4 linked regions of the Tamandua tetradactyla genome follow. The protein of the gene in region 1 interacts with the protein of each later gene in a biochemical or structural test. Links are inferred from orthologs where the notes say so. Each region holds a gene or a part of one and is shown on either strand. Other genes may lie near its edges.

What was found.
Region 2: the proteins of UBE2E1 (region 1) and RNF14 form a complex in vitro, tested with the Homo sapiens proteins (3 studies listed by BioGRID, with this or other methods). The link is inferred for Tamandua tetradactyla from reciprocal best matches to the Homo sapiens genes UBE2E1 and RNF14.
Region 3: the proteins of UBE2E1 (region 1) and RNF4 form a complex in vitro, tested with the Homo sapiens proteins (2 studies listed by BioGRID, with this or other methods). The link is inferred for Tamandua tetradactyla from reciprocal best matches to the Homo sapiens genes UBE2E1 and RNF4.
Region 4: the proteins of UBE2E1 (region 1) and PRKN form a complex in vitro, tested with the Homo sapiens proteins (2 studies listed by BioGRID). The link is inferred for Tamandua tetradactyla from reciprocal best matches to the Homo sapiens genes UBE2E1 and PRKN.

What each region holds. Positions count from the first base shown.
Region 1 is NC_135341.1:64,540,461-64,547,309, reverse strand, and holds the start of UBE2E1 (ubiquitin-conjugating enzyme E2 E1), read left to right. Parts: upstream 1-3,831; 5' UTR 3,832-3,939; intron 3,940-4,077; exon of another isoform or gene 4,078-4,098; 5' UTR 4,099-4,182; intron 4,183-5,166; exon of another isoform or gene 5,167-5,282; coding exon of another isoform or gene 5,283-5,285; intron 5,286-5,318; 5' UTR 5,319-5,352; coding exon 5,353-5,504; intron 5,505-5,564; exon of another isoform or gene 5,565-6,849. UniProt on the Homo sapiens protein: Accepts ubiquitin from the E1 complex and catalyzes its covalent attachment to other proteins. Catalyzes the covalent attachment of ISG15 to other proteins. Mediates the selective degradation of short-lived and abnormal proteins.
Region 2 is NC_135346.1:22,074,687-22,082,239, reverse strand, and holds the start of RNF14 (E3 ubiquitin-protein ligase RNF14), read right to left. Parts: upstream 3,021-7,553; 5' UTR 2,907-3,020; exon of another isoform or gene 2,841-2,906; intron 2,813-2,840; exon of another isoform or gene 2,455-2,812; intron 1-2,454. UniProt on the Homo sapiens protein: E3 ubiquitin-protein ligase that plays a key role in the RNF14-RNF25 translation quality control pathway, a pathway that takes place when a ribosome has stalled during translation, and which promotes ubiquitination and degradation of translation factors on stalled ribosomes.
Region 3 is NC_135345.1:2,217,438-2,225,370, reverse strand, and holds the start of RNF4 (E3 ubiquitin-protein ligase RNF4), read right to left. Parts: upstream 3,010-7,933; 5' UTR 2,543-3,009; intron 1-2,542. UniProt on the Homo sapiens protein: E3 ubiquitin-protein ligase which binds polysumoylated chains covalently attached to proteins and mediates 'Lys-6'-, 'Lys-11'-, 'Lys-48'- and 'Lys-63'-linked polyubiquitination of those substrates and their subsequent targeting to the proteasome for degradation.
Region 4 is NC_135337.1:66,442,593-66,449,555, reverse strand, and holds the start of PRKN (E3 ubiquitin-protein ligase parkin), read left to right. Parts: upstream 1-3,962; 5' UTR 3,963-4,080; coding exon of another isoform or gene 4,081-4,087; intron 4,088-4,093; exon of another isoform or gene 4,094-4,580; intron 4,581-6,963. Other genes in the region: PACRG (parkin coregulated gene protein), read right to left, coding at 3,385-3,540. UniProt on the Homo sapiens protein: Functions within a multiprotein E3 ubiquitin ligase complex, catalyzing the covalent attachment of ubiquitin moieties onto substrate proteins. Substrates include SYT11 and VDAC1.

The sequences.
Region 1 (6,849 bases):
CCACTCAGCTGTAAGGTAGATTAAAAACAACAAACAAAACAAAATATATTGACAAATGTTAATTTGCTTTGAGAATCTTTGAAATTGACCAAAAACAACGATTGCCTTTATGAAACACTTAGAGTTGAGTATAAGCAACAGGCCAAAAAATAGGAGTGTTCAAAAGTTAGATGGGACTTTGAAGACTTCAGGTTGACTGAAATAAGCCAGACACAGAAAAACGAATGTTGTATGATCTACTTTATAGGAAATAGCTAGAATATGCAGAATGATAGAGACAGAAAGTAGATTATAGTGTCTGGGGTGGGGCCAGGGGTGGGGAATGCTGAGTTCATGCATAAAGGGCTTGAAGTTTCTGCTTGGGAGATGGAAAAGTTTTGACAGTGGATGATGGCGATGGTAGCACAACACTGTGAATAATAAGCATTATTGAACTGTGTACCTGAAATTGATTAAAATGGGATATGTTATGTTCTATATATGTTATCGCAATAAACTTTAAAAAACATCAAAACCAAACAAAACCATTACCAAAAAAGTTATATTAGGTCTCTTTCTTTTGAATCAGTTGTAACCATTTCCTCCCAAAAATGGAAATTCCTATTGCTTTCCTCCTGAAGATCAGCTTAGGTCTGTAAGCACCTTGATCTTGAAGTGCTTCTACTTAAAGGTACCTGATACTCTAAAGATGACTTGGAGAGCTGGATCATTCTGAGAATGAGGAATAAGTCCTCGTAAAAACTAGAGCCTTCTTCCTCAAAGCCCATAGATATCGCAGGACTGCAGCACTTGGGGTTCTGTGGCTGGATGCATCTTTTAAACTTAAATTGAGAATTCCTATCAAAGAACTCGGTGTATGTATACGCATTTGCTTTCACAAGTATAGACTACATCAGGAAGTACCCACAGAAAACTGCTTTCAGGGCTGGGGAATTGGGAAAAGGGCAAAAGGATATTTTCTTTGTATATCCTTTAGTATCTTTTAATACAGCACAAAAATAAATTACCTATTTAAAATATGTCCATAAATGTAAAATAAATAATGAGGAATATTCTTGGGATGGGGGCAGGAAGCTTCAATAAAGGTCATTGATTGCTTCAAGTCAATATTATAAATTCAGAGATTATTTTAGCTTGCCTCCACCTTTCTCCTTCCCAAGTATGTCTTTATGGTTAATATATTCCTGAAATTATTACCAGAGGTTTTTTTTTTTATATTGAATACGTTTTTCTCCAATGTCACTGAGCTTCTCTCCTACCCCACTGCCATTCCCCCAATCTTGCCATGACTGACAAAATCATCTATGAGCAGCATGGGCCATTGCCACAATTTTGCCACCGACTTACTACATGACCTTGGACAAGACTTTGGCTTTCTTTGCCTTCATTTCTTCATCTCTGATTTGAGGAATTTAAACTAGATGAAATTGTAGGCCCCATCAAGTAATAAAATCCTAGGATTTCTTGACTCTTTCTCCTTAGGAGTTTTTTAGATACTAGTCATTAATTATAAGTCATAAAGACCCTGTGTCAACAACATTCCTGAGAAGAAGGACCAGAGTGGAATTATAAATAATTTGTTTTGTGTTACTGTTAATAAACCACCTTCACTTGGCTGATCCTTTTAACAATTTTGTTAGGCAGCACAGTGGTGCTGTTATGCTTGACCTTTATATTTGAGGAAACTGAGGTTCAGGGAAGGCAATTCAGTTTGTTAGGCCTTGTAGTTAATAAGTAGAAGAACTGGTTGCAAATGAATTTTTATGTTTATTTTTCTGACTAGTACAACTGCATATTTAAAATCTGACCTAAAGATTAGACTTTTGAGAGGAGTGGATTCTTTTCTAAACATTTGGAGGGTTTTATTCCCCCCTCAGAGGGTCCTTCCCCCAAGCCATGAAGCATTAACCAGGGCTAGTGCGAATTAGAGATAAGAAGGAGCAGTACACAAGAGACAGCGGGTATCTTCTGAGACACGTGGTTGAGAGAACACTTCCCCATTTAGGAGGAGCCTTTAGATTATGTTTTATATCCCCAGGGACCAGCACAACCCAGGTATCAACAATGAAACACAAAATGCCATGTTCATTTTTAAAAATATATATATTATTATAGTTAGCATCCAAGTATACAATTTATGCAAATCATAATTAAAGGAAAAAAAAAATCCATCCACCATCCAGGTCACTTCAGCAAATCAAACTTCTAATTTTCCTGTGATCTCTACTAGCTTTTATCTTTATGATACATTAATGATTTTTTTACTGGTAGAAATCATAGCACAGATATGTATTTTTAAATATTTGAAATCCAAATGTTCATAACAGGGAGTCTATATTTTAATAACTGCATTTATGTTATTTTCCTTACCCAAACTGAGTTTATTTAATCTGTTTGCTGATTGTTTTCTCTTGGTTTATATCGTTTTCATTAGAAGTACAAAAAGTATACAACTTATTTTCAAGATTTTTTTGTTTGCTTTCAAATCCAAACAGCATGAATGTCATTCTTTTTTATATGCTCTACCCGGACTCCTGAAACCAAACTCTGAGAAAGGTTATCTCTGGAAAACGTTTTCAAATCTAGTATATGCCTTAGGGTGGTTAAGGGATAGCTCTGTCTGGAGTAGGAGACTGAAATGATGACCTACAAAGTCTCTTTCAGTTTCTGGACTCCTAGATTCTATGACAATTCTTGGTAGATAAAGGTTTCCTGGTAAGGATTGAGCAAGAAGCATACCTTATTGCTTTATGAATCTTGATAAAGTTGGAGTTTCAGGTTGAAGGCTAGAAGAAGTAAATTAGCTGGGTAATGAGAATGCTTGTTTTCCTGATTCCTATGCCATGGGTTTCTACATTTTGTTGTGGTGTCCTGTGGTGAGTGAAGCCACTGTTGCCATGGAAAATGATGGCAATTTGAATGAAGTAATTCAGAGTGGCCCCTGGAAAACTGGACTGGGCTGTCTACTTCATGTATAAGACCTTGCACAGCACTGTTTGTTGTTATTTAGATGGAAGACATCTCTTCAGTTCCCTTCAATTGAAATGGCAAATAGGTGAGAAACTAAACAGTAATTTGATGGTTTAATACTAAAAAAATAGTCTTGGTAAAAACGCAAAGTAAGGATTAATGCAGAAAAATTACTAAGTGATTTTTCTAAAAATATTATTATTATTTGAATAACATTTAAAGTTGAGGCTGAGGAGGTACAAGGGACCCCAGAACTTTGCATCTAATTTCCCAAAATCAAACTTTCTATCTAATGTAGGTTAACACCAAAAATTATCAATCTAGTCTAAGTACCTGGCTTATTCTCAGTGATTTCTTGCATTTGCAAACCTGTCACACTTTGGTTTTACCTGTCATGAAATCCTTTGTATCATTAAAAAAAAGTCACATTGATTTCTATTAAAAAAAAAAAAAAACTGGAAGAATCCTCAATTTTAAATATCATGTTCCTCGTGCCCTGAACAGAAAACTCCCAGTTTGGGATTTTTTTCTCAAAGGCGTGCGTGCCTAAACTCTTAGCAAGTAATTTGCCACAGGGAGAAGCAAGTGTTAGCCCAAAGGAAAACCCCTTCTATGGGGTTTTCTTTTTTCCCTTTAAGCTGATCACTTTTTAGGAGGAGTTCCCGCTGCATTCTCTAGTCCAAAGTCCTTGCCACCAGATTACCATCTTTTCCACCAATCTGCCAAAGCCTTCATTGGAAAAAACTTCCTCTCTAGTGTCCCCATATGCATTCAGTTCCAGTAGCTCCCTGCGCCCCCATTTCGGACTGGCTTTCAGGATCCAGTTCCCCAAACCACTTCAGGGAAAATTCACACCCTTAGCCCCCTTCCCGGGTGTCCGGAGGAGGCGCCGGGGTGGGAGTCGTGTGGACCGAGGGGGCCGGGATTTTCCGGGGTCCCCGGTGTCCTCCTCGTGTCCCCCACCCCGAGGTGTGCAGGGGGGAGGGGAGCGCGGGTGGGTGGGACTGGGCCGTGTGGGGGAGGGGTGAGGGCGAGGAGGAGGAGGAGTGTGTGTGCGAGCGTGTGTGGCTGGGGGAAGCCATTGCCTGTTTAATAGTTGCTGTTGCTGCACTTCCGCTTCTCTCCCAGCGAGAGAGACACGAGTGGCCAGGCCCAGCCGCAGCCGCAGCAGCAGCCGCCGCGGCGGCACGGAGGAGCCAGACACAAAGAGAGGTACGGGGATCCCCCCGCCGCCTGCCGCCCCCTGGCCGCGCCGCGGGGCCTCGGGGACACCCCTTGCCGCCTCTCCCGACCCGCGCCGCCGGGACCGCCGGGCACGGGGTTGGAGGGGGACGGCGAGGGGCCCAGGAGCCCCAGGGGTCCGGGGCCCGCCCGCGGGGGATGGGTAGGGACCCCAGGCCGCGTGGGGTGCGGGGGCAGCCCGCGTCGGGGGCGGGGGGGGGCATCGTGGCTCGAACTGTCAGCGCTGCCCCGGGAGCCCCCCACTGGCCGCCGAGGGGGCCGGGAGCGGGGGGAGGGGAGTTGGGGGAGCCCAGTTTTCCCCTGGGGTGGGGGCCCGCGGGGATTAGCCCTCCTGGGAGGGCGGACTCATTGTTATTCCTTCGCTGCGGAGGCCGAGTTTCCCCCCACCCCCACCTCCCCAGGGGTGGCGGTCGGGCGTGGGCTCGGGACCCTCAGCCGCGGCCCTGGAGCCCGACTGGGGTGGCCCAGGGGCAGGCCAGCAGGGAGGGGCGTCGGGGCGCAGCGCGTGGCGGGGGGGGGGGGCTTGGGCCTCGTCGCCCCTGCCCCCGCCGGCCTCTCCCTTCCCCCACCCGGGCACCAGCTCCCCGCCTCCGTCCCCCCGTTTCGGCTTCCTCTCTTACTCCTCCCTGCCCCTCCTCTCTTCCCGACCTCGCTAAACTCCGCTCCTGGCCGCAGCACCTCGCTCCGGCCCCCGGCCCCCCGCGACCCTCGAAAAGCCGACAAAAACAGCCCCGAGGCCGAGCGGCCGTCGGGACCTTCCCCCCTGCCCGGCCGAAGCGCCCAGTGCCCCCGCCCTGTCCTGCTCCTCCGCCTACTCGGCCTCTCCCCACCCTGCCCCGAGGGGAGCCCCGGGGGGCGAGGGAGGGGCCGCTTGCTTTACTGCAGACCGTTTTCCCACCGCGTCTCCGACTGGAGCCAAAAATAAACAAACCCGCCGTATCGGATTTGCAAAAGCCTTAATGCGGCTGGAGACTTCGAAAAGCGAGTGGAGGCCGGTGGGCGCCCGGGGGTGCACTCCTTGGCCCGTGCTCTCCTGACAGCGCCCGAGTTCCTTTATTTACACCGGCTGTATGGTTTGTTTCTGTTTTGTTTCCCTCACCCTATAGGGGCTGTTTGTGGGGTGGGGTGGGGGGGTTCGCTATGTCGGATGACGATTCGAGGGCCAGCACCAGCTCCTCCTCATCTTCGTCCTCCAACCAGCAAACCGAGAAAGAAACAAACACCCCCAAGAAGAAGGAGAGTAAAGTCAGCATGAGCAAAAACTCCAAACTCCTCTCCACCAGCGCCAAGAGGTACGGTACTCTTCCCACGCCCCCATCCCACCCCCACCCCGGAGGCTTCCTATTTTCTGAACCTTCTCGGCTTGGTTTGGTCTGCCACCCAAGTGAAGGCAATTTAAGTGTCCTTCATGGTTGTTTTATGTGTTCTTAAAATTGAGAAAAGGGCCTTAGAAGCCCTCATTACTTTCTCTCTGGCTTCTTCTTTTTCTCTTTTAATTATTGTCCATATGTAGTTTCTGTGGTTTGCCTCTCCTATATCTTATTGAGGTTTGTAAGAATCCTCATTACCTTTAACAGTGACCCCCAAATCTGATTTCATATTACTTGTCCTCTTAATCACTGATCTGTCACCCTCCCTACAGCTGTCATCCCTCTTGTTAATTACTAATACCTGCCTGGACAACTCTGTATCACAGTGAGTTCTATTACCCTCTCACTTCCTCCTCACCTGTTGCATGTATGATCTTTTTTGAATAGAGCTTTTTCCGCAAATTGCATAAGGAACAAATAACTCATATCAGTAAGGTAGAACATTTAGGAGGTGAAAATATGTTTTTAAAAAGAGTTTTCTGTTTGGAGAGTTGAGGGAAATGAGTGAATAGATGATTGTAAGATGGTTATTGTAGGTTGTTTTGCTATTTTGTTCTTGTTAACCACATTTCGGGAAGACTAAACGTTTTTTTTCATGCTGTTTGCTCTTGTGCTGCTGTAAAAGATTGCATTTTTCCCCAAGTTGAGTCTCTCATGTCTCAACTTATGTCTCCTCTTATGTCTCTGGAACTAGCTACCTTTTACCTCTGTCATCCCTCAGTAATGTCCTCTGATTCTCATGACCCTTACAATAATCTGGGAACCGCCAGACACCCTTTCATAAGTCTTCTGTTCTCAGTCGTTAAAATATAAAGTGGTAAACCAGAAAGACTTTAAGGAATCCCAAGTGGTAAGTTATATAGGGGATTTCTTTCTTAAAGGAATTTAAAATAAAATGGAACATGAAGCTTTAGATCTTTCTGCTGAGTAGTCAGCCCAGAACTTGGAGTTTGAGAGTTTGTTGTCATTCTGCCTGACTTGAAATTTGAAAAGTTGGTAAAGCACTTTGGTAATCTAACCATGGGCTGATGAAGGAAAGACTAGCTTGTTTTAATGGTGTGTATGTCTTGAGTTAAATGGTAAAAAAGATGCCTATGCAAGATTGTTCCCATTTTCAGAGGGTTGGCTTGATTGCATCTCAGCCTCCTACAAGTCTTAATGGGCCTTTATTGATTAGCGCTGTTGCTGGTTCTCTCAGAACCCCGGACATCTACCGTGCCCAGTTTGGATGGGTCTTCCTTGACCCTGGACAGCTTCTGGGCTCCCT
Region 2 (7,553 bases), on another chromosome or scaffold:
TAGATTCAAAGTTTACTATTATTTTAGGTAACACAACGAATGAAAATATACAATTAAAGTGTGAGTCAATGCTTTTTTATCACAGTGACTGAAAGATGCGGCAACAATTTCAGAGAATTTAAACATGAAAAAATATGCAATGATAATCTATGAAAATTACTTTAACAAAAAAAGAATTACCATTCTGTCAATTAAAATATTGGATTATAATTGCATTTGCAAATATGCTGCTTCCTAACTAAAATATTTTTAAAACTTGAAATATACAGAACTGAACAATTAGGACATGATTTTTCACATTATAAAAGGTGCCAATTCATTTAAACAAATTCATTTTAAATTATTCCATTTTCAAAAAATAAATGTTCCCAAGCCGATGAAATGGTTCTGCTTAAGCTGCTTCCCTATCTAAGGCACAGTGACATGTTCTATTTGTACCTGTTCATGATGATCAGAAGAAAAGAATATTAACACTGAGGTCTATATTTCAGTTCAGGGTGTTTGGAATTCATGCAAATCCCATTTATTCTCCAGCCAGTAGAGATGAAATTGCTAAAGCTGGATAAGAGACCAAGAGGTGGGACTCATACTAGACACACTACAGAAATCCTGTCCTCTGCAGAAAGGATGTTATGACCCTCTCCAAATTTAAACTGTGAATTACCAATATCACTACTTAAGTATTATACATCCTACCACATACTTGAGCCTAATCTACAGCTACATACTACTCCCCTAGAACAGCCTGTGCACAGCCAGCATTTGCAGGTCTCTAGCAATGACAGAGGCCTTATCTGACAGCCCTCAGTGCTGGGAGGAGCTGAGGAGAAACCCCAAGGTCATAGGAGAAGATAGGATGCCATGTCTCTTGACAAACATCTTCTTGGGTGGGGAGGTTGATTCTTTTTTCTTTTCTCCCTTCCTCTTCTGTTTCTTCTATTCCTTAATTTCCCATCTACCTCCAGTTTTTCCTCTCTCCTGCTCAATCCTGCCAGTGACACTCAAAGTAAGGTTAACTTAAGCATGACAGCAGGATAATTTTAAAAAACAAAACAATACAACAAACACAAACAGTTTTATTTAAACGCTTTAAAGCCAGGGTTCTTAACCGGGAGGGTGGGGGAGTGGGATCCACAGATGGACTATGGAGAGTCCTATGAACACCCTGAAATATATGAAGCCATAAATTTTAAACAGATTCTCAGATGTGTGATTTCCAAATAAGCTAAGAATCAGATTCTGAATCAATTTACATTTATTGAGCACCCAATATATAGTGTATTAGGTCTTTCACATTATCTTATTTAAACTTATTTACCAGGAAGTAGAACATGGTGATAATGCGATTAAGTTATTTGTTTTTTCCTACTAAAACATTTACAAATAATGTGAGAGATGAATTTAGTTTTTTGGTTTTAGGTTAGTGTTCTCCATCTTATCTGCACATTAGAATCTCGTGAGGAGCTTCTCTGAAGAATCCCAATACCTAGGCCATACCCCAGACCAATTAAACAGAATCTCTGGGAGTGGCTCCAGACATGAGTAGCTTTCCAAGCTCTCCAGGTGACTCCAGTAAGCAGTTAAGGTAGAGAACCTCTGCTCCAAGCACTGTTTCCCTTTGATAGCTCACCACCTATACCACCAGACCTCATTTTCCCAAGCTGCCACCCAGGACCCCTTAATTCAGGGCTCTGACCTTCATTTTCTTCTACCTGATTCTCTCCACTTAGCCTTCAAGGCCCACCTCCAAAGCTTCTCTTCCATGTCATTTTTTCCCAATTGGACATCACGTTTTTCTTTAAAATCCAAACTTTTTTACTGTTACTTTCCTAAGACATTGACACATTCGAACCTGCATTACAGTAGTTTTAAGAACTGGCACTTCCTCTCGCGCCTTAGTTGCTCAAGGAGGACCAAGTCTTTTCTATCTGTGTATTAATTTCAGTATCCAGCAGTGTCCTGCATTAAGACACTGGGAAAAAATTGCACTGGAATGAAATGCAGTGTGCTGGAATGGGGGAACAGATATATAGGCTCAGTCATCACTCTGCCACATCCCTCTATAAGCTGGAGGTGGGTCACAATTAACAGTGATATTTAGTGGTTTGTGTCAGGCACATGGTGTTCAACCCTTTAAAATGCATAAATCCGTGCATTTAACTCATGCCACCACCTGAAGCAACTCTATTCTTAAATCCATAACAAGTAATGGAAAAATATCAGTTTAGGTTCCCTTGTGGCCCAAGGTCACACATGCAACAAAACTAAGTATGGAGTCAAACCACGCTGTTTCTTCATCTATAAGACCGCAATGAGAATAAAACCCGGCGGCATTAGCTCATTCAAATTTAATATTCGTTTTGACAAATGGGAAACCACACCAGTGTGGGAAGCCCCTCTTGGCCGGGTCCCCTTTCGGCGTGGGAAAATACTACTCATACTGCGAGGCCACACCTCGCGGACTCCAGCCCGGGGTGGGCCCTCGCCCGGATCAGCACGCCGCCGCCCGGGTCTCCACTAGCGCGCCGGCCGCCAGGCGTGCTGAGTCGTTGTTTGTGCGACTCAAACTACACCCTGAGGCAGGCCTCAACCTCGTTGTCCGCCTCAGCGCTTGGCACACAGAGGGCGCTGTGCAGGCACGCCGGCCGTGGGCTCGCCTGGGTGTCCCGAAAGGGCAGGGACTGGATCTTTCCCTTCCTGCTCCGTGAGCGCCCCGGAGAGTCTGAGCCGCTGCGGGAAGAGGGAGCCCGTCCCGGGTTTGGGGGGCCGAGGCCCACCGGGCAGTCCCGGCCCGGCCGCCCTTCCTGCCTCGCGCGCCCGGAGCGCGGTCCCCACCGTACCTTCCGGCCGCCTCGCCGTGCCGGGTCCAAGAGTTCCGTTCCCCACCCTAGCCCGGGCCCCCTCACCACCACTCGCCGGCCCGGCCTAGCGACGCCCGCCTCAACCCGCGCGCCGCCTCTTCCGCCGTCGGAGCTGTCAGCTGGGTCGGGCGGAGCCGACTGAGGCCGTGCAAACTGAGGCGGTAGCCGGCGTGAGGAGATGGCTCCGCGCAGCCGCCGTGATCGCCCCGGGCCCTCCGGCGCCCCTCGCAGGCCGGAGGCGGTGCTGCAGGCGCGACCACCCTCGCCCCACCACCGCCCTGCAAATTTTAATATGCTTTTAGAGAAGTTGATAAAAATGCAGATTCTGTTCTATAACTACTCTTCGAAGTGTACTTTGAAAAGCATTGCTTTTTCTTTCTCTTCTTTGTATATGTGTTATATTTAACGTTTAAAAACTGCATATTCTGGGACCTCACGCTCAGAGGATTTCTTTCAGTAAATCTGAAATGGAGACCTGGAATTCCAGATGGTTGTTTTTTTTAACCAATTCCTAGAGGTCACCATGAGGCCAGCGGTCAGTTGAGGATGCGGACTGGGACTGGTAGGGAAGTTCTGCTGCCTGTGGAAAAAATACCCCTACCTTGACTACTTTCTCAGAAAAGCTAAACTTTTCCTGGCACTGCACATGAAAGCATTAATTCAGCTCATATTTTGACAATGAGCAATTAGGGTGATTTAAACACTGTGCAAAATGCTGTGGGTACATTTTCTTCATCTTTAGTATAACCGTATAATTAGGAACTATTTGCTATTTTCACTTTACGAATAAGACTTAGAGAATTTTTTTTTTAATTACCGAAGATCGCCTGATTATAGAGAGGCTGAGAGGGCATTAAAATTCTATGCCCTTAAAAAATAAAATACAAAGACAAAAATAAAATGAAATAAAATTCTATGCCCTCTGCTTCACACCATATAAAAAAAATTAGCTAAAAATAGACCAAAAAACCTAAATATAAAAGCTAAAAAACTTCAAAACTTATAGAAGAAAACATAGGAGTAAATTTTCTTTCCCTTGGATTAGGCAACAGTTTCTTAGATATTACACTGATGAAAGCATAGCAATAAAAGAAAAAAAATAGATAAATTGTGTGTCCTCAAAATTAAAAGCTGTGCCGCAAAGGACACTATCAAGAAAAAGATAACCTACAGAATGGGAGAAAATATTTTCAAATCATATATCTGATAAGGAATAGAAAATTCTTGCAACCTAGCAATAAGACAGCCCAATTTAAAAATGAGTTAAGAATCTGAATAGACATTTCTCTAAAGAAGGTAGATAAATAGTCAATGAACACATTAAAAGAGTCTCAACATCATTAGTCATCAGAAAAATTCAAATCAAATCGCAACGAGAAACCACTTCACACTAGGATGGCCATCATAATAAAAATCTTTTCAAAAGGAAAGTAAGTGTTGGCAAGGATGTCAAGATATTGGAAACTTCATAAATTGCAGGTGAGAATGTAAAATAATGCAGTCACTGTGGAAAATAGTTTAACAGTTCCTCAAAAAGTTAAACAGAATTATCATATGACACAGAAATTCCACACCCAGATATCTCTCCAAAAGAATTGAAAAGATATGTTCACACACAAAACTTCTGTATGAATATTCATAGCAGCATTACTTATAATAGCAAAAAAGTGGAAAAAAGTCCAAATATGCAGCTAATAAATGGATAAAACAATTGTTACGTATCCAATCAATGGAATATTCTTCAACCACAAAAAAAGGAATGAAGTACTGATAAGTGTTACAACATGGATGAACTTCAAAAGCATTTGACTAAGTGAAAGAAGTCATTCACAAAAAGTCACACATTGTATGATTCCATATGAAATGTTCAGAATATACAAATCTATAGAGACAGAAAGAAGATAGGTGGCTATCAGGAGTTGGGGGAGAAAGGAATGGGAGGTACCTGCTAATGGGCACTGAATTTCTTTTGGGGATCAATATACTTTGTGAATATATCATAGTCTACTGAATTACATATTTTTAAAGGATAAGTTTTATGGTATGTAAATTATATCTCAGATTTTAAAATCAGATGCAAAGCATTGTTCTCAGCACTTACATGGGACATGGGGATGCTGGCTTCTGCTCCTCCGAAACCATGAGTCTAATTTGCTCTTAATGACCTAATAAGCTCCTGCTTATTATCATATACTTCTTCCCTGCCTCCCCTCTCCCCCCCAAAAAAAAGGAACTTACAGAGCTGGAACTTTAGCCCAAGCCTATGGGATTCTAAAGCTTCTGTTGTTCATTACCACTGCCTCCTGCAGGGTCGCTTCATGGGCCAGTGTCCTCTGCAGTTGCCCAGGACTCTGTAGGTAAAAGGTCCTCATGGCCATTGATTGTATACTTTGGATGGATTGTATGGTGTGTGAGTATATCTCAACAAAATTGCATTACAAAAGCCGGGGTGTGGAGCACTCATGTGTAGAAGGATCTTGCACTTGTACTTAACATACTGCTGTCACCACCACCTTGAAATTCTTAATAATTTTTGAATTATTATAATTCTTTGATTCTTACGACTTTGAGGCTCCACATTTTCATTTTGCACTGGGCATTGCAAATTATGTAGACAGTCCTGTTTCCAGGAGAGAGGGGAAGGAAATGAAAGAAGGTCAATCAAGGTGCCTGTGGAAGGGATGTGGGTCTCACTTGGCTGCCGTAGACAGAAAACTTTTGAAATGCAAATAATCCCTCCTTAAAAAAAAATCACTCCTAAATTTTCTGTACTGTAGATATTATCACATAACAAGAAACCAACTACCCCAGTAATAGGTACCCAAACCAGAAACATATGCCTTATAGATGGAAAGGAAGGAATAAGAGTCTCCAAAGCCATTTGCTAATATCAGTATTCAAGTTTAACCAAAGGAAATAAAACCAAGAGCAAAATGCATGACAACCCTACCTCAGAGTGCTCAGGTCAGAACAAGAATCCTGCTGGATCACTGCCCTCCCCTTCTCTCTACATGGGACATAACTCCCAGGCGTGTGGACCTTCCTGGCAACGTGGGACAGAAATCCTAGAATGAGCTGGGACTCAGCGTCAAGGGATTAAGAAAACCTTCTCGACCAAAATGGGGAAGAGAGAAATGAGACAAAATAAACTGTCAATGGCTGAGAGATTCCAGAGTCGGGAGGTTATCCTGGAGGTTATTCTTACACATTATATAGATATCACCTTTTTAGTTAAGGTATATTGGAGAGGCTGGAGGGAAGTGCCTGAATAAGTAGAGCTGTGTTCCAGGAGCCATGTTTCTTGATGACCATTGGATAATGATATAGCTTTCCCAATGTGGCTGTGTGATTGTGAAAACCTTGTGTCTGATGCTCCTTTTATCTACAGTATGGACAGATGAGTAAAACATATGGATTAAAAATAAATAAATAATGGGGTAAGAAATGTTAAAATAAATTGAGTAGATTGAAATGCTAGTGATCAATGAAAGGGAGTGGTCAGGGGTATAGAAAAAATAGGAGAAATAAAGGCTAAAATATACTGGGTAGATGGAAATACTAGCAATCAATGAGAGGGAGAGGTAAGGGGGATGGTATGTATGAGTTTTTCTCTTTTTTCTTTCCATTTCTTTTTCTGAATTAATACAAGTGTTCTAAGAAATCATCATGGTGATGATATTATGAGTTTTTTGTTATATACCAAGAATGGAATGATCATATGGTAAGAATGTTCATGTTTGTATGTTCTTATGTTTAAAAAATATTAAACATTTTTTTAAATACAAAAAAAGAGAGAGAGAGAATCCTGCTGGAGATCTCTCAGATGCAAAAATGAGAGGCTCCTCGAACCAGGTAAGGGAAATTCTCACAAAGTTGGAGCAGGAAGTGAATTGTGACATCATTTCATGACCTTATATCAGAGGTCAGGGGATAGGGGGACTAGAAGAGAAAATTTCAGAGCAGTGTTAATAATTTAGATAATGTTTACAGTGGGCTAAAGACATACATTTCAGTTTTAAGGTCAGGAGTCTCCTAATAAGTTTTGTTTGCAGACTCCATAAAAATTGCCGACTCGCGTCTTTGGCTTCATGTGCCTGGTTAATCTTTTAAATTGAGTTCTCTTTGTGTGCCCAGCACTCTGCTGAGCTAAACTTTGCATGCATTATCTCATTAAAATCACTTAGGTCATTTTGTCTCTCCATTCTATAAATGAGGAATTTGAGGCACTAAGGGTTGAAGTGATTTGACCTGTCTGGTACAGTGGTGGAGCCAGGACTAGGACCAATTCCTCGTCAGTCTGATCCCTCTCCCATATCCGGTAAGAGAATTAGGGTTTGTTATAACAGAAATGCAGAGAGAATGAAATAGTCCTGGCCTTAAGAATCAAAATGGGAGACTTAGGGAAGCTGAGATTAGAGTTTATGTTACAACGATAGGTGAGAATGAGAATAGAGAGAGAGACCCAATCCTGTCCAGTGTCACCAGGCATACTAGTTGATAGAGTCCAGCGCTAAGGGAGGTTGAGGTGTGTGACCCAGACCAGAGCTCAGAACAAGGTCAGCACATAGAGAAGTTGGAGAAAACCATAAGAATGCATAAGAATAACCTCCAGGAAAACCTCGACTCTGTATGGAATCTCTCAGCCATTGACACTTAGTCTCATTTCACTCTTCCCTCTTTGGTCGAGAAGGT
Region 3 (7,933 bases), on another chromosome or scaffold:
TTTCTGATCCTTGCAGCAGCAACCTCCACTCCCACACTCCCATCCCTATACCCAAACTTCACGTTTTCTCAAACTTGAACCCTTACCTTGGGGCAGAGCTGTGCTCTGGGCCCTTGTTCTCAACGAAAACCTCAAAATGCCTGCAGCCCACCTGAGAAACAGGATCTTGAGGAGAGACAAGCTGAAAGAATACAGATGCAAGTCATACCTCAATGATAAAGGGTCAGCCCAATAACAGTCTATATGAGCGATCTTATCCTTCAAAGACCACAAATTTGGGTACAGTTAAAGATGTAGGTAAATAATTTCAAAATAAAGACAAAACATATACACGCAAATCCATTTTTACACATCATATAAACCAATTACTTTATGCACATATTTTTATTGAGTAGCACCTGGATTTTTTTCCCAGAAGAATTGTAAGCAAAGAACAGTGATTGCCAAGCAACCATCACAGATACCACGTTCCTGACTCCATCATTTCACTCAACCCCTGGCTAAGCTACCTCTATTTCCTCCTAACTGTGGCCCAGGGACCACTATTCTTGTCTACCTTTCTAATTCATCCTTTTCACGAATAGCAGTTTTTCTAAAATGCAAACTGTGTTACTTCTCTGCTTATTAACTCAATTCAGTAGTCTCCCACTGGCCTTAAGATCAAGACCCTTCGTGGTCCGGTGCCTGCTTACCTCTGCAGTTTCAACTCTTGACACACCACATCTCTCTCAACCTATATTTCAACTGCCGGGGATTTTTCTCACTCTCTCCACCTTCCCTACTTAGCTTCACAACGGCCAGCCCCATGTTATCTTGTAACCCAAGCAGAAAGCTTGGCACAGAGATCACCTTAAGAATGTGCTGACTTAGTAAACTAAAGCATGCACTCTCAAAAGAGGCAAAAAATCTCTAATAGCGTTTTTACTAAAAAACACAGACACACATGCAGTACGTTAAAAAAAACAGAAACTGTTTAAAATAAAACAGAGAGAAGATGAAAAACAACAGAATAACAGCAAAATGTGGACAAGTTCAGGAGGCATATGTAGGTATAACAGAAAACTCTGAAAGAAAGGGAGGTGTAGAACGCATATCTGAAAAAAAAAACATAGTATATATGCAGCACAGAAATTTAAAGGTAGAAGTAATTCTGGAAAAAGCCTGAAAGGATGTTAGGGAGTAATCATGGAATAAAGATTGAGAAACACTGTACTAAAGGAACATTTTTGAGTCAGAGCAGAGAGCTCAAAATCAACAGAAAGGCCAGCAGTACATGTTTCCACTTCAACGTTCCCATTTCACCTCAAACGCATGGATAAAATTGAGCCCAACAAGTCTCCCACCCCTTCAAAAGGAAACCATCAGAAAAGCAATTGCTGCCAACATACCCGCCTTTCGTTACCAGTGGCTCCAGAAACTCTCGGTCACTGACCTCAAAAGCCTGGTCCCATAGCCAGGAAACCTGGGCTGTAACGCCAACTAGCTCGGGCAGATCGCTCCACCATTCTGGGCCTCAGTTCCCCGACCACTTAGGGAGCCTAAATTTGAGTGCAAAGACTAAATTTGAGAGCTGAGACCCCGAGTCTGCCTCTGGGCACTCTGCGCCTGAAGACTGCAGAGCTGAGACCCCGAGACTGCCTCTGGGCACTCGGTGCAGGCGCAGAGCGGAGGAAGGATTGGGAATGTGATGGGCTGTAGCAAGGATAAGACAAAAGCCGAAATTTCACACACAAAAAACAGCCACCGCAGGCTCCCCCAGGTTCAATTTCCTTTCCTTCTCCCCGAACGGATCAAAAGGGGGTATTTTTTGTGTATAGTGTTTCGAATCTCAGGCCTTAAGAATCTGAATAATCTCCATACCCCTGACTACAGGGGCGCAGGGGCGGAGTAGGCGCTCCAGGCGCGGGGGCCTGGCCTCCATAGCCTGTTCCCGCCCCACCCCCCCACCCCCGGTAGGAAGGAGCTGCCCGAAGCCGCGCGGCTCCTAGAAGCTAGGCGCCGGGCGGACGCTCTCTGGAGGATCCGACCCCCCCCCCACCCGCACCGTAAGCTTCCCCATTCAAGTCGGGGAAGGGAGCACCCCCAGGTCCAGGCACCGAGGCGGCCACACAGGCCCCGCGACGGCGGCACGACACAAAGGAGGCCTCGCCACCCGGAACAAAACCCCGCAACGGCTCCCCCGGAACGGCCCGCACAGGCCCGCGCCTTAGCCCCGAGCTGCCCCGGCTCGCCTCTCCGAGTGACCTTGGACGCGTCCGGTGCCCTCCCCAAGCCTCAGTTTCCCTCCGTAGGTTACAGGCTAAGCCCACGGCCGGCCCGCTGCGGGGCGCCGAGGGCGGAGGGAGGCCTTCCCATTTCCGCTGCCAGCGCCGGCCTCCGTCCATCCGTGCGGGCCGGAGATCGGGGAGTCGGCCGAGATCCCTGAGGGGGCGGCTCCGAGCTGGCCTGAGTGGCGCCAGGGCAGCTCCCCGAGCCCCTGCAATGAGGCCTGTGCAGGCCGCGAGGCAGCCTGAACCCCGCATCTGCCGGAGCGCCGACTTACCGCTCCCTGCCCGCGACGCCTGGCCTTACGTGGAGCTGGCTTAGTCCCGCAGCGCCGTCGCCAACGAGCCCGCAGAGAAAGCACCTTCGGAAACCGCGGAGGAGAACTAGCAAGACGCCGCCGCCTAAACAGAGGGCTACTTCCGCTCTGGAGACCTCGGCTCCGCCCCTTGCACGTCCCCATTGGTCGCCACAGCCCCTACCTCCTCGGCCAATAGGCGGAGAAATCATATTTTCAATCCTATTGGCTAGGAAAACTATCTATTACTCCTTTGAAAAGGGCTTCCTTCCGGCCCCACCCACGTCCTCCCGCTCAAGCTCCCATGTTTCCGCGAGAGCCGAGGAGGACCGGCTCTCCACCGCGTGGCATCTCGGGAGTTGTGGTGTGTGGGCCGGGGGCGCGTGACTTGGTGACCCCGGCAGCCCGCAGACCGAGCCGGCCCGCTTGTGGTCTGCGGAGCTCAGCGCCCCCCAGTCACTCCTCTTAGGTCACAGTCCGGCACGCCGGACAACGCGTGGGGCTGGACACTAGTCCGCGGCCTAATCCCGTCCTCACCCTGGGCCTCAGTTTCCCTTCCTGTTCAGTAGGCCTTTGCGGAGAGCGTTCCTGGAGCGACGCCCCCAGGCTGCCCGCCGGAAACTGGCCCTGGATCTGCAGCCTCTCCGGGGAGCCCGCGACCCACGATGAGCCAGGCCCTGGGCCCGGCGAATCCGTCTCTCTCCCGGCGAGGGCCTGATCCCGGGACCCTTTCGCGGCCGCCTGGAAAGGAAGCGTATGAGCGGGAACCCGAGGAGGCACGGCAGCTGGAAGGCCGGGAGGGCTCCCGGCAGAAGAGACCTGGGGGCTGGAAGGAGAGCGCTCCAGCAAGAGGGGTCCTGTGTCCCAGAACCCTGATACGTCCAGGAAGCTGAAGGCTGCGCAGTGTGCCCGGAGGCAGGTTGGGGAGCAGGTGTGCCAGGTGGGAGGGTAGTGGGTCAGAAAAGTCAGAGCTGAACCCGTGGAGGAGCACTGAGACGGGGTCGAGGTTTCGAAAGAGACCGTGACCGAGGCAGGGGCTTTAGTGGCTGACGCCTGGAGCTGTCAGGAGCTTCTGGGGGGCATTTCAGGCAACTCCAGGCTCAAAAGAGTGCATACTTCCCGGGTTTGAATCCCAGCGCCGTCATTTAATCAAGTCTCAACTGTTGGGTTATCCTCAGAGGGAGAACGTGGGGCACACATCGCACAGCAGTGTACAGGGCATGCCAGGCCCTGGGTGAGGGCTACAGGTCAGAATCGGACAGGAGGCATCGGTCTAGGACCTGGACCCAGGCCTGGACTTGGGCTTGGAGGGACTGTTGCCGTGGCAACCAGGAAAAGGAACCCAGCTTGTCCCTGTTGACCATCATCTGTGGTGCCTAGGCACCCCCAGGCAGTAAGGACACCCCAAATGCTGTCTCCTCAAGGGATCTTCAATCCAGGAATATTGAGTTAGGTGAGGATCATACCAGCAGATCATAACCAGAGCATGAGTAGTTTTGAGTTACATGGACCAATAATCTGCTTGAATTTCATGTAATCTGCTTCCATTGTAAAATATGGGTTGAAGGTTTGAGTTTTTGAAAAATTTTAAATTGTGAAATATAACATATATAAAAAAGGCAATAAATTTCAAAGTGTATTGTAGCAAGTTCTTATGGAACAGATTCCAGAGTTCAGTATGGATTACAGTGCCACAATTTTAGGTTTTTCCTTCTAACTGCTCCAAGCACTGGAGACTAAACAGAATATCAATATAATGTTTATAATATAATATAAATCATACTCATTTGTTAAATCCTATCTTCTTCCTTACGACTCCTCCTCCTCCTTTGATACTTCTCCCAATCTTTACGGATATTTGGGCTATGCCCATTCTAACGTTTTCATGTTGAAAGAGGGTGTCAATAATAAGGGATGGGGGGTGGAACTAGTTGAGGTACTTGAAGAGGCTGTCCCCTCTGGGTTTCAGGACTTATCTAGCAGGAACCATCTTAAGCTTGTAGGTTTCTGGAAAGTAATCTTAGTGCATGAAACTTTTGCAGACTTTTAGAGCCCTAGGCTCTCTTTAGGTTTAACAGGAAAGGTGTTGGTTGGACTTTGGCACACCAGGGTAATTAGCAATATCTAGCTGAAGCTTGCATAAGAGAGTAGCCTTCAGAATAGCCTCTTGACTCTATTTGAACTCTCTGAGCTACTGATAAAATTATTTTGTAACATTTCTTTTCCCCCTCTTGGTCAGGAAGGCATTGTCAATCCCAGGGCGCCAGGGCCAGGCTCATCCCTGGGAGTCCAGTCCCATGTTGCCATAAACCTCCACCCTTGGATGTCATGTCCCATGTAGCAGGGAGGGTAATGATTTTACTTGCAGGACTGGGCTTAGAGAGAAAGAGGCCACATCTGAGCAACAAAAGAGGTTTTCTGGCAGTAACTCTTAGGCATAACTATAGGTAGGCTTTGTTTCTTGGCTACAGAAATAAGCTTTATAAGCGCAAGCCTCAAGATCAAGTCCATGGCCTTGACTTGGGAGTCCCTAAAGTTTGAGACAGTCTTAGGGGTTTCCCTGATAGTAAAGCCTAATAGTTCCATAGTTTTCTCCTGTCCCTCAAGGCACTTTGCCAATACTTTTTAATTAACTGCCCAACATACTCTGGGATGTATCCAGGCCTTACATTAAGCTATACAGAATAACAAGCCCTCATTCCCATTCTGGGCTCTGTGTGTTTGGGTTGTTTAAATGATCTGTCCAGATAGGTTGAGTTAGAGTATGTGCTACAGAAAATTTAGATTTTGGACAAAATAAACCTCTCTTTCTTTGGTCTCATACAGTAGATGAAGTTCTAAAATACGATGTCATTGTTTACCCTGTATTCTAATTGACCTTAGTCCCGACCAGATCAGCTTCATTCTTCTCTGTCCTTGAAGCCTGAACTCTTTTTTGGTTTCCTTAACAGTTGTGGTATGTAGCAATGCTGACTTTTAGCACTGCAGAACTCCAGCTCTGAGTCTTAGGTGTCATACAGATAGCCAAACTTCCAGGGAGATACCTGCTTAAACATATACAGCACAGTAACTCAAAATCTAGAAATAACATTTACAACTCTGGACTAAATGTGACTGCTTTAAGAGCTTACACTAGGCCCCAATTTTCTTACACGTATTTTCTGAAAGAGATCATACTATATTTGTTGTTTTACTTCTGGCTTATTTTGCATGACATAATGTCCCCAAGGTTCATTAACCTTGTTGTATGTCTCATGACTTCATTCTTTCTGTAGCCTCCACAATATCCCATCATGTATACAGCACAGTTTGCCATTCTACTTCTCAGTCAGTGCATTCTTCAGCCACCTTCATCCATTGGGCATCATGTCCAATGCCCAAAGTCAACAGTCCATGTTTCACATTATCCTCACTTAATAGTGTAACATTATACTCTCGATTTTAGGCAATTTTCATTGCTCCAAAGGGAAAAATAACTGATAAACACACTCTCACCACATAGAAATTCCAAACCTCCCCTTAACTCTTGTCCTTCCCCCCAATACTTACCCCTGATATTGCTGTGTTATCGTTGATGGGTTCCTGTTAAACATAGCCCATTGCACGCAAGAGTAGTTTTCCCCCATATGCCTCTATTATGGACTCTCTGTACAAGATCCATATCTTTGAAGTAGTTCATGCAAGAATTTTATATTTGTAATGTTGATCAGTAGGATACCTGGCTCTGTACAACCCGTCATCATGTTCACCTTCAATATGGCATATTACTTTAATGAACCACCTTCATTTCTATCCATTCCCTTATATTTATGTTCAACCTCAGTAGCTAACCCTTCACCCATCTTTAGTTTGTATGTATCTCTAGGTCCCCTATATTCTACATTATAAGCCTGAGTTTACCTTCACTAAGGTTATAATAGCAAGATCATACAGTATCTATCCTTTTGTGTCTGGCTTAATTCACACAGCATTCTGTCTTCAAGTTTCATCCATTTTTGTCATATGCGTAAGGATTTCATTTTGTCTTATTGCCACATGATATTCCATTGTATGTATATACCACATTTTGTTTATCTACTTGTCTGCCCTTGGCTGGGCAGCATTCCAGGACAGCAAGTGGGAGCTCCAAGGCCCCCTGAAGCCTGGGCTCAGAACTGGCACATGGCCACTTCTGCTGTACCCTGTTGGCCAAAGCAAGCCCCAGGGCCAGCCTGGATGCAAGGGCTGGGAGAGGCAGTCTGCACCTCACCGGGAGGAGGTGAAAAGTCACATGGCAAGGGGTGTGTGTACCACCGATCTCCCACACAAGGCCTGTCCAAGGCCTGCTCCCACCCAGGTTTGTTCAGGGCAGGGTCCCTGGAAAAGGCTGTAGGTGCCCTCACACCTTTTCTGAGCAGCTTCCCAGGTCCCCGAGGGCGGGGCAAGGTGGGAAACCTTGTTGATTGCCAACGAACAGTGCTGCCAAAAGCACCCCAATTGTTTTTCTGAGCATCACCTCTCTGCTCCAGGGGTCAGCCTGATAGGTGACAGGTAATTCCTGGTCTTGCCACAGTGCTCGCTTCAGGGACTCCTGCAGACACTCCCCTGCTGCAGGGACTGGCTCAGCAGTGGCATGTTCAGTTCTGACCAGTAGGCAGAGGTGACCAGGGACCTTGCGGACAGAGATGTTTCCTTCCAGAGTGCCAGTAGGGTGAGAAGGCCCCTCTTCCTCTGGATGTGGTCAGGCTAGAACTGCTATCAGCCTAAGTTCAGAATTCTTGGATCAGGCATGTCCTGTAGTCCACTCCATCTTTGGGTTGCCAGCCATGTGAGTTAATTAATCTGCTTCTGAAAACTGGGTGGCAATGGGCTTTCTGTTACTTGCTACTGAAGCCAATTGGAATGGAGCTGAATTCCCAAGGAACTCTGTAGACAAGTCATTAATGTATTCCCTTGATGGCGAATGAAATGATTGTGTATTTTACTGCACAACAGAGGATGTAAGAAATGCCAGGTTTATTTCTCTAAATAAAATTTAATCTGTTCCCAGTCCTCCACAGCAAGCTGGGAAATTCCTCTCCTAGCCAACCTGGGTTATGGGGAAGTCCTGGGGTTCTGACACAGCGCTGAATACTGGGGATAGTGCTGGACTTCTGTCTGCTCTTGTTGCTGTTAAATGCCCACCTTCCTGGTCTGAATGTGCCCTGGGGCACAGCCTCCTAGGGACGCACACAGCCGCCCCCTCCCCAGGTGCCATCACGTGCGCGGGCTCAAGGGGGTATGGAGTGTGGCGAGAGCTCTCCTGGGCGCTTGTCCGCCCTAGCCGCTCTCCGCCGCACCCCGCCGCACCCCGGCCCGCCGACCTCGCCCGCGCTGGGCTGGCTCTGGAGCCCC
Region 4 (6,963 bases), on another chromosome or scaffold:
ATGAGAAGAGTAGTAGATGAAATTAAAACATAGAAAAACTTGATGGCCCTAAGGAATGATTTGACTTTTTTAATAAGAATTAGGGACCTCCAGAGTTTTGAGTAATGAAATGAGTAGAATTTTGTACTGGAAAAGTTTATGTAAATAACTGACAATTACTGATAATTGATTGAGGCAATTAAGCAGTAGAGTCCAGAGATGAATTTGGATGATATTGTTAAATCTAGACAAAAGGCGATGAAGGTCTCAGTCAGGCTATTGTCACTTATTTCTATCATCTTTAGTATTTCTACTGTACTGAATAAGTATTTGAAAGCCCTTATCATAAATATGTGTGTATTGGTATTACAATTATTTTTACTTACCTATCTCCTTTTCTTCCCCAGCAATATAACATGTTTTAACTCCTGCATCAGAGACTTCTATTTATTCTTTCTCATCCTTATTATAGGAATAAAACTCAAGTTTTAGCAAGGCACAGAGCTATCAGTTAGAGGCTTCATGTCCCAGCCTCACTTGCAACTAGACATGGCTATGAGAATAAGTTTCCAGAGTGAGATAAGAGCAGAAGTGATGAATGCAAATTCTGGAAATGGAGAGCTGGGTGCCTTATTCTTGCAGGTTTTTCATTACCCATTTTTCTCTCATTTTGCTGAAACAGGTATTGGAGACCATAAGGTATTGGAAACTACATAATTTTCACAGACCTTTTTCTGATGTAACAGTTATGGGAACCTGGGAGTTCCTTCAAGGGTCAATTTTTTCCCAGGCTTTTGCAAAAAGGGAAAATAAAGACATATTACTAAATTCTGGCCAGTGGAATGGAAGTGAAAATGGGGTATAGCATCTGGGCCATGCCCTTGATAGGAACTTATTTGTTTTCTTTTTGAGAGCTGAGACTTAATTTTGGTGGTGGTAAGTTAACTTTGACCAAGGACATCACCCTAGTAAGTATGCAGGAGGTTCCTGTGGCCCCGGACCTACCTCACAGGGAAGTGTCCAAACTCTCAGGTTTGCTATCAGCTTGGACTTCCATATGGGAGAGCACAACTTCTAACTTGGTTTCTTAGTTAGTCTATTGTTATTTGATCTCTGTTGAAGCAGGCAAATTAAGATCTTAATACATAATTTATAAATATTCATCATTACTACTTTGGATGAATTTATGATTGGTAAATGTTAAACTATCTGTGTATGTAAAGTAACATTAAAGAATTATTTCTTCCATTCCCTAAACTTTGGGCATACAAGTTTTGTAGTCCATTGAGCAGTAAAGATGTAGTAGAAAGTTTAAGTTGAAGACAACTTCTCGATCAAAATCTTGGGCCCACAGCCTAACTTGCTTTATAAGTTAGATAAAGCACAAAGTATGTGTCCAGATGAACTCAAAACAATACTGGGTTCCTGGTTTCTGGTTATGGTCTTTATTATACTACGGCCAAGGTTGTGCCAAAGTCTATGCTGCTGAAGAGGGAAATGGTGACATGTAAATATTGGAAATTGAAGACACCTTTTTTTTTTCCTGTGCCAGTTGAATTAGTCTGCTTAAAAAAATATTGCCTATATTTGTTTTATCAAGTCTTTACTGTTGTTGGCAGTGGTTTTCCTAGGAGAATTAATTACAGGGACTTTGCTTTGTTCACTACTGATCCCAAATCCCCAGAACTCTGCTTAGCATGTAGTAAGTGCTCAAAAAGAACAAAAACAAAAAGTAAAAACGCTGTTAACTGACTGAATGGATGAATCATGTTTGTATCTAACAATTACGATTTTCACTAAGTGAAGTAAAATAATGACTTATCAAGAGATGAGTTACTGGAGATCCCAGTGGTGATAAATGTATTATACTAAAAGATTTTCCTTAAATATATGAAAAGAAGATAATTTATCTCAAATACTTTTTTGTAAAGAGAACTGCTTCAAGATTAATGTTTTTGAATCTTACAAGCACATTTGTTACATTTGGCAATACAGAAATATCCAATTTTCCAGTATTGTGACTAGGTGTAAGTTTATATCTAAGAATAAATCTGATATAAGAATGTAAGAATATATGTTTAGAAAAAAAAAGAGAAAGAAACTGGCCATTTTTCTACATTTGTGGCATTAAAATATAACATTTAAAATATCATCAAAATTATTATTTAAATATTGGGTAGAAGCAAATGTAAATGATAAACTTGAATGGTTATGTTATTCTGTATTGTTGATGACTCATTTGGGCTCCCATGAGAATCTGCTCACATGAAATATTGCAGTTACAACAAGCAGGGATTTTAGTTTATCTCCCAAGATTTTAACTACTATAGGTCAACTGACATATACATTAATAAAGTGAATATTATTTTGTATAGTAATTTAGGAATCTGACATAGAGCTCTAGATGTAATCTGTTTCATACATGTATTTTATAAATAGGGTTTAGGAATAAGGTATTAAATTTGCAACATTTAAGTAAAATAAATAATGTGACACTGGGAAGCAACACTATTCATATAATATAATGAGATACAATAAAATAAATCAGATTCTCCCAGGGTATAAATTATACAAACTTGGAAGTTGTATTTATTATTTAATGTCTCATTCCCAGACAGGTGCTTTCTCAGTAGTAAAATCTGTTAACATACCAAATTTAAAGCTACTTAACAAATAGGATTTAAAAAAACAACTATCGTGCATATAGCTAAACCATTTCCAGGCATTTAATTGTTTTTGTAATAATATTAAGAATATTTTATTTTTATTATCAAAAATAGTAGAAATATGCATTTTACAAATAGACTTGGATTGTTAAAAAGTATCATTTAAAAGATTTGTCATGAATGGACTGACTTCCTATTAGGTTGCCTTTCAGTGCTCAAATAAGCCCATGTCATTTTGTAAGGATGCGTGTTGTTAGCGTGGATGGTAAGATAACCTAAATGCCCCTAGGTTAAGCAGTTATTACTGATGATTTCATGAGTTTTTGTTCCTAGTAGTACATCAGCTCCTGTTAAATTTTGCAAGAGTGAGAATAACTCCTAAGACCTCACCTTCTATCAGGCCCTGTGCCAGTGTGGCTATTTTAGGAGCTGAAAAAAAGGGGATCTTTTTTCTTTGTGTAAATAGCTTAAGAGTAATTTTGGGTTCCTAGAAATTGTGAGTTATTAGAAAGGTACTTATAAATGGGCACAGTATATCTCTTGTCCAGGATCCTTTCTAGCCAACCTAGTCTGACCCCACACATTGTTGGGCACTGCCTGCCATTGGCGGAGTAATTGTCATTGTTGGCAAAGACCACCGAGGACAACAGCTCAGAATCCATCACACGGCCAGCTTAGAACAAATAATCTCGTGTACCCTGATTCGGAGCGAGTGCATTCAATCAGGAAGATCACTTACGACTGAGTTTTTCATCATGGCTTTGACTGTGAAGCCCTCAGAAACCAGGGAGTGCGGCTGGTGCACCGGGAGCGGCTGTTGTGCCAGCAGCTTGGTCCTCTTCGGCATCTTGTCTGGGCATTTGCTTAAGCTCAGGGTCTCTTTTTCAGCCACCATCTTTCTAGAAAATGTCTTGTTCTCATAAAAAGTGTACTAAGAATCAGTGGGGTTTACAGATGTGAGAAGGTCGGGAAAAAAACGTCAAAGGGCGCAATAATGTTAGAAATTCAACCCCTCGTAGTGCCCAGGCTGATCCAGATGTTTGGCAGCTCCTAGGTGAAGGGAGTTTGGGGGAGGGGAGGGGCGGGAAGAGGGCAGAACCGTGGTTAGAGCTGCAACAAGCTTCCAAAGGTAAGCCTCGTGGTTGCTAAGCGACGTATCAACACAGCGGCCCAATGGCCTCCGTCTGTCGTGACGTACGCTTCCTGGGCCTTGAAGCCGGAAAAAGTGGCCGAGAGGCGGCGAGATGGAGGGGAGGCTGCGCGTCGAACTACAATTCCCGGCAGGCCGCGGCCGCGCGGCCTCCGCGCATGCGTGCTGCGACCTCGCCGGGCGCAGGGGCGGGGAGGTCCGGAGTCATTTAAGCCCCGGGAGGCGGCGGGCGCCAGTGTGCCCTAGGTCGCTGCTTGCCGAGCACTCGCCACCTGCTCAGTGACCATGATAGGTATGTGGGCGCCTCACAGGTACGGAGTGGCGTGGCGCCGCGCTTGGGCCCAGGGCATTCCAGAGAGCCCGCTAGTGCTCTCCGTCCTGATAGGGCGAAAAAGAGTGCGCCGCCCGGGTGTCCTTCCCCCGCCGACCTGTCGTGTCCGTCCTAGAGAATAAGTGTGTGTGCCTAACACCCCCTCATCCGCCCGAGACTGAACAGGGACTCCCTGAGGACAGCCGCGCCAGGGACGCCAGCTAAAGGGCAGCGGGGGTGCCGCTTCCTGCCGGCGAGTGGCCCCTCCCCCCGCGGCCTGCGCGGCGGTAGCCGCGTGGTCAGTCCCGAGGGCCGCTTGGCGCTCGCACCGCCTCCCGCTCCCTCCTCCCAGGAGCCTGGTTGGCTGGCGGTCTGCGTGGGACCGATCGGAGCTCACTCTCCGCAGGGCTCTGGAGGGGAAAACTTAGCCAAGCAGTCGGACTCTCAGGGAAGGGACAGCAGGACGATGCTGATGGTGGGTGGGACCCAGAGATTCCTTAAAATGAATGTAAACGTCCTGCTTCTCGGGTTTTCCCTATTCAATCTCACATCGAGGGTCTGAGATCAAAGAAGAATGAACTATTAAGATTGTAGACTTGGTGTCTCCTGCTTTTCGCATATGGATTAAGGGTTATTTCTGAACACATTGCAGTTTTGTGAATGGCACTTTGGAAGTGAATATTAGGGTTGTTTATAAATGTTATGATCTTGAGAAGGAGCAGAGGTCTCTTCTTCCAGGGTTGTTAGGCAAAGACATTTTAGGGATTATCCCTGAAAATTAGCGGAAAGCACAGTAGGAGTAAGAAACTACTATTTGGGGATTCGTTGTCACAGACTTGTTCCGTGTTATATATTGAAGTCTCGGTGACCTTGTTTGAGGATTTACTGAGGAGTGTCCACTTAAAAACACTTGATTTCGACAAATCAAATGTGGTGTGTCCAGAAAGGTGAAAGGTGGATTTAGAAAATATATGCGTTTCTATGCACTGACAACACTCCTTAACTCTGGTTTGTTTATAAAATTAATTTAAAAATGAAAAACAAGTCTAGTCATCACTGGGAAAATCACTCTAGTTAACTGACATTTTCTCTGCAGCCATGATGAAACCTAAGGATATTGCCCATTTTTGCTTAGCTTTCTAGCGTGGTGTGTCTTTTGGTGAATGACGTTTGAAAATATATAAATATATAAATTTTTATAAATCCTGTTGAGCTTTTTTAGGTGACAGTTATTCAAGTTCATCTGGAAACATAAATCTGAACTGAATCAGAACTAAGCAGTAGAGATTTTCGAAATTCATGCTGTTGGTATTTCACAGGAAAAACAACTTTATTTTGAAGACAAGCGTTTTTATGTTTATGTTATTTTAATTCGACTTAATCTACTGTAGAACTATTTAAGAGAAACAAAATCTATTGTGAAACTATATGAAGACAGGAACTTAAGATCTAAAACCAGCACTCTAAATTATTATCTACTATATACTTATACAGATAACTTTATTAGGATGAAATATATCTAGGCTGTTTTGTTTAGTTTTTATTTGGGATATATGCACACAGCAGGGAAGAAGTATTGTATTTGAATTTGAAGGTTAAACAGTTGTCAAGACTGCTAATGAATGAATGATTTGGAGACTACAGGTAGGTTTTTTTTTTTTTTTTGACATGGGCAGACTCCTAGAATCAAGTCTGGGCCTCTGACATGGCAGGTAAGAACTCTGCCACTGAGCCACCATTGCCCGCCCTACAGGTAAGGTTTTAAAAGATTTTTTTTTTTCATTCCCAGCTATTGTATATTTTTACGTAGTGCAAATAAGTGTATTATAACATAAATAATTAAATCCATGCCTCTTTTCCCCTCAAAAAAAGTATGACACAAAAAACAATTATTGTAAACTGACATTTCCTTGCATGCCTGAATAGATAATGCTCGATCAAGTATTTTATGCAACATGTTGCATTATCTAATTCTGTTGGTTAGTGCATTTGAATAAATATCTTAGTAGGCAGTTTTCAACTTGGGAGTGTTGAAGAGTGCTAAAGGTACATGAAAGTTAGTGGGAACAGTTGAAAAAAAGTGCCTTGGGTTTTATGTTTTTGCGACCAAATTTTGGATCTGGGAAAGGCATTTTGGTTTTTGCCCAGCAACGAACTAGAGGTCAAAAGATACATAAATGTACATCTGGAGATTGTTTTCTTATTAAAAGACACGTCTTCTACTCAGAACTTGCCCCTTTAAATGTCTCTATGCTCTTTAATCACTATACCATCTTAATGCAAATAATGTAATTCTATATTAATTAAATCCTGGCTCTCTTTGGAAGGAAAATTAAGAAGGTAAGAATGTATGTTACCTCACTACCAGTAAAATTACCTTCCTTTTACTTTGTCAAAGCCCAAGATTACCTTCTTGGCACTGACTTAGTACTTACATTTTCATTTGCAATGTTAAATGCCCTGACCCAGACAATTACAGATACCTAATTTAATTGAAGCCAGTGAAAAATTATGACTTTGTGATAAGTATGGAGAAGGGCTTCAAGATAACATAAAGCAGAATAGAAAAATTTAAGAAATATTACTTAGAAAAATGTAATTTTTGGTATCTATTAAAAATACTGTTACCCTTTTTTAAAGTTAGCTAGATTATTGTGTATGTTTTAAGTGTGAGTTTAAAACTTCTTTGTTTTTAAAACTGAATTTTAATAGTGATATTTATGATATATCCTGTTCTGAAAAACTAGATGTAAGTATTTGAGTAATATCAGGTATTAAAGTCCATGGATAAATGTAACCATGTATTGAAATTCATTTTCAGCATCTTATACTTTTAAGTTTTTTGGTTAGATTTTTGA